Oryzias latipes: one gene and its partner. The protein of the gene in region 1 purifies or fractionates together with the protein of each later gene. This does not show direct contact. Links are inferred from orthologs where the notes say so. Each region holds a gene or a part of one and is shown on either strand. Other genes may lie near its edges.

Region 1 (4,397 bases):
GCTCCAGAGCAGCAACGAGCAGTTTCTAACCCAAACCTCTCAACTCTACAGTCAAACCTAGGATTGGCTAAATGTCAAATGCGTTTGCTGTTCCAGGTGAAAACGTGTCTTTAGGATGTTGTATTCACTAGTTGGACTGCGACTGGATTCAATTAAATCAGTGAAACTTTTGTGAAATCTCCTCCCCTCCTGTTCATAATGGCGTTGGACTGCTGTGGCGTTCTCTCTCCACACAGTAATGTGTTTTTCACTGTTTAACTCCATAGACATGTTTGCATGGATGGTTAATGTTAAGGAAGACTTTTGTTAACTCCACCCTCCTGGTAATAAAAACCATACATTTAAATGATGAGAAAATGTAAATGAGTGAACTCAGCCATCATTTCATGACTAATAAATAATGCTGCTAGCAGGCTGCAAATAGGTTTATTTATTGTGTAAAACAGAAACTTCTGTGGAAAGCGGCCCTCAGAGGATCCACCTGCTAAAGAAAGGAAGATGGGGCTAGCTTGCTCCAGTAGCTTGTCTGCTTCAATGCTTTTTCTCTAAATGTCATCACCATTTGTTTTTCCTCCTTACTGGCTGTTGCTCCCTCCTCCCCCGTCCTCCCTCCTGCCCTCCTGCATCATCGGTTTGCGACTTCAGTCAAAGTCTAGTCTGTCGTCGTCTGATGATTCTGTGGCTGATCCTCAGCTTTCAGGCTGAGATCCGTGTCTGACGAGACAGTTCCACTTCTGTAATCTATTGATAAAGTAAATCTCACCCATGTTCATGGCTTTCAGATCCTCTGTACTCTCCTTGCTCTCCGGTTGAACAGCATGTTTCTCTTCAGATGGACCCCCACCCGTTCTGCCTCTTGTCTGCATCCTTGTCTAAACTTAGTTTGGTGTTCTGAACAGCTGGTGAAGCGAACAGAATTCACTTAATGTCCCTGTTTGTATTTGTCTGATTTGGTTGAAAACTTCATGCTGTTTGTGTTCAGATGAAACACAGGTTGGCAGATTAACTGAAGCCTCTTCGCAGCTGCTACCATGTCCAGACACACCAGCATCTCTCATCCAGCCCCAGCTGCAGCAGAGGAGGCAGAACTGCGCGGCCTCCTAAAGTCCAGCTTAAAGAAAGCTCAAATGACTTCTGGGACATACTGTCAGATGAATCCTGAATAAGGGCTTCCTGCCCAACTTCTGACATCAGGCCAGAGCAGGGGTCGGCAACCTCTGCCCTTCAAAGAGCCGTTTGGATCCGAAAACACAAAATGAAAACACAGGAGCCACAGCAGAAAACCCGGTGTTCCAGTGAACGGCATCATTTCACTGGTTTCTAAAGTTTCCACTCGTTATTCTCCTTCAACCTCATTCCACATATACTGTCCTCAGAAGTGGTCCTGACTAGTTTGACGCCCTGGGCGAAACAAGATCATTTATTTTACTTTTTTATTAAACATTAGTAAAACATACTTGTGTTGTTGAATTCACAGAAAGTGTGTACCGGTAGTTAGTTCTTAACACGCATCAGTTTGTGTTTCCTTTTTGAAGGCTCCTTCTGGTAAAAATTCCCACATTTTTCTGTTTTTCTTGATCTGAATTCTGATCTGGATTCTTCCTGTCATTTTTCTGTCGGCTTTATGAATGAACATCAATGGAAACTAAAAGACATATTCTTCTTTGTTTGTGCGTCAGTGTCACATCAAACTGAACAAAAAACACAAACGATTGTGTAGATGGCATCTGAAGCATTGACTGTATGTGAGAACAGAGAAGCTTAGATGAAATCCACCAATGAGATGATTAACCAGACTAGTCTGGTTAATCAAACTAGTCTGATTAAGTGCAAACCTTCATTAACCAAATGTTGCTCCAGATTTTTCACCTCTATCAGTAAATGTGGTCGTATTTGGCGCCCAGCGAGTGTTCATTTTGGACCCCGCCTGCATTCCTTTATCCTTGGAGTGTTTTTCTTCTTTCTAAACTGGACACTTCTGTTTGCTTTGATCTTTTGTCCATTTTCCACAACCTTGAAGAGACTTTTCCGTCTGTCAAACACACAGAGTTAAGATGAGGGAGATGGTGGAAACAGATTCACTTTGATGCAGACTCCTGTTTGTACATTTTTTAACTTTTCATGAACTCCAGTAAACCCAATAAATGATATTCATTTATGGATGACAACTATTTTTATTAGTAAGCAGCTGTTAGTTTGTTGTGGGTCTGGTATCATAAGCGGTGAGTCGAAGCCCCGCCCCCGCCTCTCTACCTGTCCACATCCTCTGCAGTTTGGGTTCATGTGTCCCCTACGAGATTACCACTGACTGTCTTTTTACAAGAACTTTCCATCCCATAATAGACTGGTCCGCATTCACAGCCGCAGACACGCCCCCTCCGCGCGTTCACGCTGCTCTCTCCCACATCCTGACAGTGTTAACCCTTTTGTTATCTTACGGGGTCCAGATGACCCGATCCTTGCATTGACGTGTTCTCCCTCCCATGACAAAGGTGGATAAAGGTGGAAAGATTTCATGTAATCCATGGACACCAGTGAAGATCACAAATCATTGAAGAAAAAAGGTTCAGAGCACTGTCTAGTGGGTCTAGATGACCCAACTCCCAACGTCAAAGTGCCTAGGATAGCACAAGGGTTAAAGGTACCATGACAATCTTAGAACAGAGTAGTTATTTTCCAAACCACAGAGAGCTGCAGCAGGGAGGAGCTGGAGAAACAGCTGTAAAAAGAAGTGTGCAGGTCTTCTCACCAAGGCCAACAGGTGAACAGCTGCTCACTGCTCCTGCTGAGGAGGAGAAGATCTCATAATCATTATCCGCTTCTGCTGAAGAAACACTTTCAGCTGCAGGAGAGAAGAGGGACACGGTCACATCCTACACGTTACCCAGCTCCTGAAAGATGCATGAATCCCACCTCACCCCACCCCACCCACCGCGTGTCAGGTGATTCTCCGGCCCCTCCCACGACTGAATGCTTGGCTTCGCTATGTCGTAGATGGGTGTGGCGGAGGGGGGCAGGCTGTGTGGCTTCAGTCTGGGCTTGACTGTGCTGTAGATGGGAGCAGTGGATGCTGCTGAGGGGTCGTTGTCATAGTGATGGGAGAAGGGCAGCGACCTTCCAAAAGAAACAGATATTGACTGAGAATGGATGCTGTTCTCACAGAGACACAGGAATCCCATTAAAAAGAAATGAAAATGAGATTTAAGGGTCCATAAGGAAGTTCTGACCAACCAAACAGGAGCTGAGTCCACATTCTAGCTGCATCATCACTGAGGCAGTGATCATCACACACAGCTCGCAATGGGCGGAGTCTGACCCTCTGCGTGTTCACTGTCACACTAACCAAAAAGGGCTGTGGTTAAAAAACTCTCCAAGGAAAACAGGAAACAAGATGCACAGCAGACAAATCAGGGGCCAATTCGGCAAATGCTGGGGTGCCACTAGTGTGTGGGGGTGGGGGCGCTGGATACGCCCCATCCAAAAGAAGTCTGTCATCTCACATTTACGTGACTCTCTTTCTTGGATAAAGAGTTTCATTGATGGGGTGGGGTTATATAAGTTTGCTTCTTCACACTCCTTTGCAAGCAATAACTCAAGCTCTACTTTCTATATTTAATTAAGCAAATGTTATTTGAGTGACTTTTTTGTTTTGTTTTATTTTTAGTCTTTTTAATCTATGCATTTCAACATTTCTGTAATTAGTTTGATAAAAATGTGTAAATTCTTTATTGCTTTGACTGCAATGCTTGAAATAAATCAATAAATCAAATCAAATTACTGATTTGGTCATCACCCGGCCAATCACAGCCCTGCTCCACGCCGTCAGTCATTTAAAGTGCCTAACAAACTGCGAGGAGCTCAGGCTGATAAGAAAGGTAACCCGGATGAACGGAGCCAGTTCACTGACTGCAGAATCGGTGTCATTACTGAGTAGAAAGACGGGCTAAAAAGACAGATCCTCCAAAAACACTCTGATCTAGAGAAGTGGAACAGTTCAGACCCTGAATAAATGTTCATCTTTAGCATTTGTCAGTCAGAAAGTGTTAAATAATCACAAATAAAAATGGAAATTGAAAGCAATCTGAGAATTTCCTCCTGAACTGTCGTGAAGGTGTCACCTTACCTGCTGGCAGTGCTGGGTGTGGGCGTGGCTGCAGGAGGGTAGGCGGGGCCGGGTGGAGGCGGATGGCTTTTCTTGGGTTTGTTGACCACAGCGTATGTGTCGTTCATGTCGGGTTTCTGGGTGCAGCTGCTGACACAGAGGTGGAGAAAACATCTGCAGCTCAGTGGTGGAAGCACCTCATCACATCTCTGGATCAGTCTTCCTCACTGACGAAGTGAACGATAACGAGCGACACTAAAGCACGTCTCCCAGCCAGGATCGTGTCAGACGAAGG
Region 2 (4,977 bases), on another chromosome or scaffold:
TGCTACACAGTTTTTTGTGTAACTGTATTATAAAGAAATAATTATCAACAAATTTAGCATTCTTGAAGTTATGCAAGTGGTCATTTAAAAGTTACTCTCTTTATAAAGTTTTGAAAAGTAGCTACATTTTTCCCACCAAAAGGGTTTCTGAAATTTCACAGAAATTCTGAAGTGAGCAGGAAGAGCCCTTCTATAAGTTATATACAGTGAGTTCATAAGGACAGCTTGAATCTTGCTAATGAGATAGTCTCAGAAATGTATCAAATATGATACGAATGGTTACAGGGTTAAAAAACAATGAATAAGAATAGCTTACTGTATACTAGAGTTTATACTGTGTCTTTTGCACTTGTTTTCAATTTTCCGACTAGAAATAATGCCTCTTTTAATATTTACTCGTAACTTCTATTTATTGATCAACATCTGCAGTATGCATCAAGTATGAGTGTCGACAAGAAAAGCCACCCAGAAAGTTAATACCAATGAGTGTCTCTTCTTCCTCAATTACTCTTCCTTCCTCTAAGAAGTTAAAAACCATCAAGAGAAATAAAACTACACCGGTCACGTGACCACAGAGTGAACAAGACACTCTACTTACGGATGAAGCAATCCAACATTTGGTGTTCTACATTACACGAGAGAACAGAGCAGATCAAAAATGACACAGTTGCACATGGGTCGCTTACTTCATCTCGTTGTGTCCACACACCTTCTTGGACAAACCCAGCAGGTCTTTGGCATACTTCTCTTCAATAGAAGCCCTGAAAGAAAAAGCAGCGCTTAAGAAAGGCTATACCCAAAGAAGATACCGGGACGTTGATTTCCATGCACGTCTTGAAGACAAGCAGCACTTTATCAGCATTTGTTTTTCCACATAATGTTTAGTGCAGAGAAGGTACATTTTAGAGGGAAACGGTTAACAAAAAAGTGCTTTTATTTTTAGAAAAGTACTTTTAGTGAGAGAAATAAACCTGTGGAAAAAAACTACTAGCAGCAAATAACAATAAAACGTATGTAAATGCAGCTACATATGATAAATTATAAACGCTTTTGCCTAATTTTCTGTAATATCTAGAGTTAAGCTTGGGAGCTACTAAAAATATTGACTTAAGCTGAATTTGTACTTGTTCAGATTTAGTATACACAAAGTTCATACAAAAAAAAAAGCTCATCAGTAACAAACAGATCACTTAACCAGGAAATAGTTACTCAGTGTAAATAGTTGCTTTAATGATATTTATACATATATGATCACCAACAAAACTTTAATCAATTTTCTAATTTTTTAAACTTTCTTTTTATTAATGTCTTTACTTCAAGCGTGCTTTGTAATTCTCACTTCTTTCGGTTTGGCACACCACGATGGTTTGCAAAAATGTCCTCCCATGTCGCAAAACACCAAGTTTCACTTTTGTTGTGATATATAATATCCTCCTTTTTATTTCAGAGTTTATGACACAGTTATATACTGACACAATTGCCAGATTTACATGTTGCTACCAATTCATAAACAATAAGCCGACATGCACTCAGGTCTTTGTGTGAAAAGTTAATTATTACAAGAGGAAGAAGAAATGCAAAACTCAAAACGTGACAAACTAAGGTTTTACAGTCCATACTTTGTAAAAAAACAAAAGAAAAAGGCTCAAAGAATTGAAATATAGCATCATCTTTAATAGTTTGATTAGTTGCAAAGCTGTTGGCTTAAATTTAGGGAAGAAATTTCTTTTTACTGATATACATTTTTATATTACATAACCTTTTTTCAAAAAACATTTTTAATATGTGACTTAAAATTTTAAATATATTTTAGTTATGCATTTTATTCACGTTAAAAAGCAATTCCCTGCTGTGAGATTAAAAACTTGATTATTTACTTCTCAAACAACAACTTCACATCTCTTCTTCCTTTTATCATCACTTAAACCCCACTTTTCCTGTGTTAGTCTCACATTAAGTTTAGTTTCATTTTACACAGAGCCTAGAGAGTCTAGCAGGGGTGGCTGTGGTGCAGAGGTGGGGTGGTCAACCTCTCATTGTAACATTGCAGGTTCGGTTACCACATTACCTGCCCAAGACACTGAACCCCACATTGCTCCTGGTGGTTCTTATGCAGCAGAGCCACCACCAGTGTGTGAATGTGCATGGGTGAATGGGACTATGAATATAAAATGCTAAAGGCCTTCTAAGAAGGTAAAAAAAAAGCACAATATAAGTTTACGCCATTTACCATTTATAACAATTTCATGCAAGTATTTTAATGTATTCATTACCTTGCTTTCATGAAGTCCTCGACCTCCTTGCATGTCCTTTTGCCTTCGTTTAGATACTGAATTATGGCATCATAGCCGTTGGTGCAGGTCAGATCTAAGTTCTGTCAGCATCAAAACAAATATGTCAATATTATTTCCATCAATATTTATCAGTAAGACACTACAGGGATGCCTCTTCTCTTTTAAACTGGTTAAACCCGTTTGGAAAGCACATGAGATTATTTGACCCAGGTGAAAATTGGTGTTTTTGAACCGTTAATCTCTATAATTTGGGTCATCTGAGGCTAACAGCCTGTAATCATCCTCAACCATAAAGACTTCCCTCATGAAGTTTTTATGCTTTGCTGCCTATTCAGTTTTTTACCATAGTGGGTTTGGAGTTTGAGTCTTTCGTATATGTCTCAGCTGTGTATTTAAATAAATTAGATGCTTTGAAACTGATCATCAGAAATTTAAAGCATGTCCGTTTCAAAACAAAATTTTAAAATATAAAGAATTTCTTGATAAGGAAATACATGATCATTACTGCTTAATTGAATTTCAGCCTTCTGAAGTGCATTTAATTACCCTGTAATTGTAAAAAAAAAAAAAAATTAGCCAAATTTATCTAGAAAGCTACACAAACTACTCACCCAGAAGAAATCTTTGAAATGAAGATTCTTCATGACTGAAATGTACAAGAGGAGCAACGCCGCAGGCTCCGTGAAGCTCTTTGAGTGCGATTTCCTTCCTAGTTAGTGCCGTGAACGAACCATGAAGTCTGAACTGTACAGTCTATTAACTGGCGCATGCGCAGTAACTTTGACAGGGCTGACTGGAACTCCTCCTGACAGCTCTTCATTGCTGGCAGAGCTGCCATCTAGTGGCTGACTGAGATATTTACTGGACCGGTAGAAGAGAGTGTAATGTATTAGATAAAAGTCAGTGTAGAATAAAATAAATGGTAAATATAAAGAGTGAGATGTAAAGTAAAGCAAATGTGTTAAACTTAACACAGTCATAAAAACTAACTAATAAAAAAGAAATAAAATAAAAGTTTTATTAACACTGATACTGGCAGAAAATTCAGCAATAACTAAGGATAAGGGGAAAGTACCAAATGCTGAAACAGCATTCATTTGCAGTTTTAAAAATCTTGAATCATCTAAAACAGGACAAAATAAAGCCTCCAAAACTAGCAGTTGTACATAATACCTATAATCACAACTTCGTCATTTGAATGCCTTTTTTTAAGAACATATAAAGCTTTGTATTTTCAATGGTAATAAACCACATAAAGTTTCTAAAATCATAAATGGGACCAAAATTAAAAATAAAAGTTTCAGGAGGAGACCTTTTTTTAATCAATCCAAAATTAAGAACCTTCAAGGCTTGAAGTGAGTTCATTTAAGGCTTAATACAAAAATACATAAAGGTTAAAAAAGTCTAGTCTTTAGAAAACTTGATAATGTCTGCATATTGAACTTTTATTGAAATAATTGTTTATAGCTAACCTCTACCTTGTTAATCAACATAGAAAAAAAGGGATTTTGTGATGAAATGATAAAAAAACACCTGTAATGATCTTCAGTTCAAATCTTCAATGTTTACACTGTTTTGACCCAAGATTATTCAATAGTGCATTAGTTTGAGATCTATCGATCTATCGATCTCAAACTTTTGTAAATAATGAATTTGTTCCAGAATCTTTAACAGGGAACAAATTTAAACTTTGTAGACAAAAAAAATATGATTTCTCTGAAACCTAAAGTTTATTTTGTCTAAAAACAAATTACAGGTAAGTTTCCATCAAGGCATGAATGGATATGATCAGAAATCCTGATTTTAATGATGTCTTCAGAAAGACTTTATATTTACACTATCTTATTGGAATAATTTTTTACACAACATAACTTTACACACAGGAGAACAACAAAAAATATAATTACCGATATACACTTCCATCAAATTATACAGTTCCATCAAATTAAAGTCAACTTTGACCCTTTTCACCTTGATTCCATTTCTCTTTTCAATGAGGATTAAGGAGTTTATCTATGTACGTGTGAGCTTTACAGTACACCAGTCCATAATATGTCTTTAAAAGTGAGCATCTTCCACCTTTCTGCTCAAGATCCATCCAGATTCTTTCCAACTCGTGGCTCCTCATGCCTGCAGAGCAGAACAGGTAAAGGTAGCAGCATGCGTTGTAATGAATGTGTTTATCTCCAGGGAACCTAGCACTGTGGGTTGGGGAGACACCAGCCTTCCGAGCACAGAGACCCACAAAAACATCAGCGGACACGGGCGCAAGGACCAATGCAGATGCCACATACACCTTCCGGACTACATCTTGGGACAGCACATAGGCGGTGTCATCGCAATATTCGGGCAGGTATTTGGCAGGGTACAGAGCGGGGGGCAGGTACCCGGGACTCTTAGGGTCCCTGTTAGGTTGGTCTTGTTGAATCACTCTGCCTAGGTACAGATCCTCTGGGTGTCTGTGTAGTCTGAGCAGGTAGCTGCCAAGAGCTGGAAGGTTGACAAACACAGATTCCTTGGTCAGCAGAACAAATCGTGCCAGGGGACAGAAGGAGATCACCCAGCGGAGAGCCAGCACGGTCCTCTCCTTTGAGCCATGGAGGGACCGCTCTGCTCCAGCATAAGCCTGGATTACATCTCCATAACGCTCAGATTCACTTAGGAGCTCCTGATGCGCAGCAGA

What was found. Proteins that work in one complex are often made in the same cells at the same time.
Region 2: the proteins of tyrosine-protein phosphatase non-receptor type 18 (region 1) and pstpip2 purify together in Homo sapiens (affinity purification with mass spectrometry; 4 studies listed by BioGRID and IntAct, with this or other methods). This does not show direct contact. The link is inferred for Oryzias latipes from reciprocal best matches to the Homo sapiens genes PTPN18 and PSTPIP2.

The regions. Positions count from the first base shown.
Region 1 is NC_019865.2:32,088,105-32,092,501, forward strand, and holds part of tyrosine-protein phosphatase non-receptor type 18, read right to left. Parts: intron 4,253-4,397; coding exon 4,124-4,252; intron 3,339-4,123; coding exon 3,228-3,338; intron 3,115-3,227; coding exon 2,933-3,114; intron 2,843-2,932; coding exon 2,750-2,842; intron 1-2,749. UniProt on the Homo sapiens protein: Differentially dephosphorylate autophosphorylated tyrosine kinases which are known to be overexpressed in tumor tissues.
Region 2 is NC_019870.2:8,938,915-8,943,891, reverse strand, and holds the start of pstpip2 (proline-serine-threonine phosphatase-interacting protein 2), read right to left. Parts: upstream 3,044-4,977; 5' UTR 2,939-3,043; coding exon 2,906-2,938; intron 2,375-2,905; coding exon 2,274-2,374; intron 762-2,273; coding exon 687-761; intron 1-686. Other genes in the region: putative UDP-GlcNAc:betaGal beta-1,3-N-acetylglucosaminyltransferase LOC100288842, read right to left, coding at 4,285-4,977. UniProt on the Homo sapiens protein: Binds to F-actin. May be involved in regulation of the actin cytoskeleton.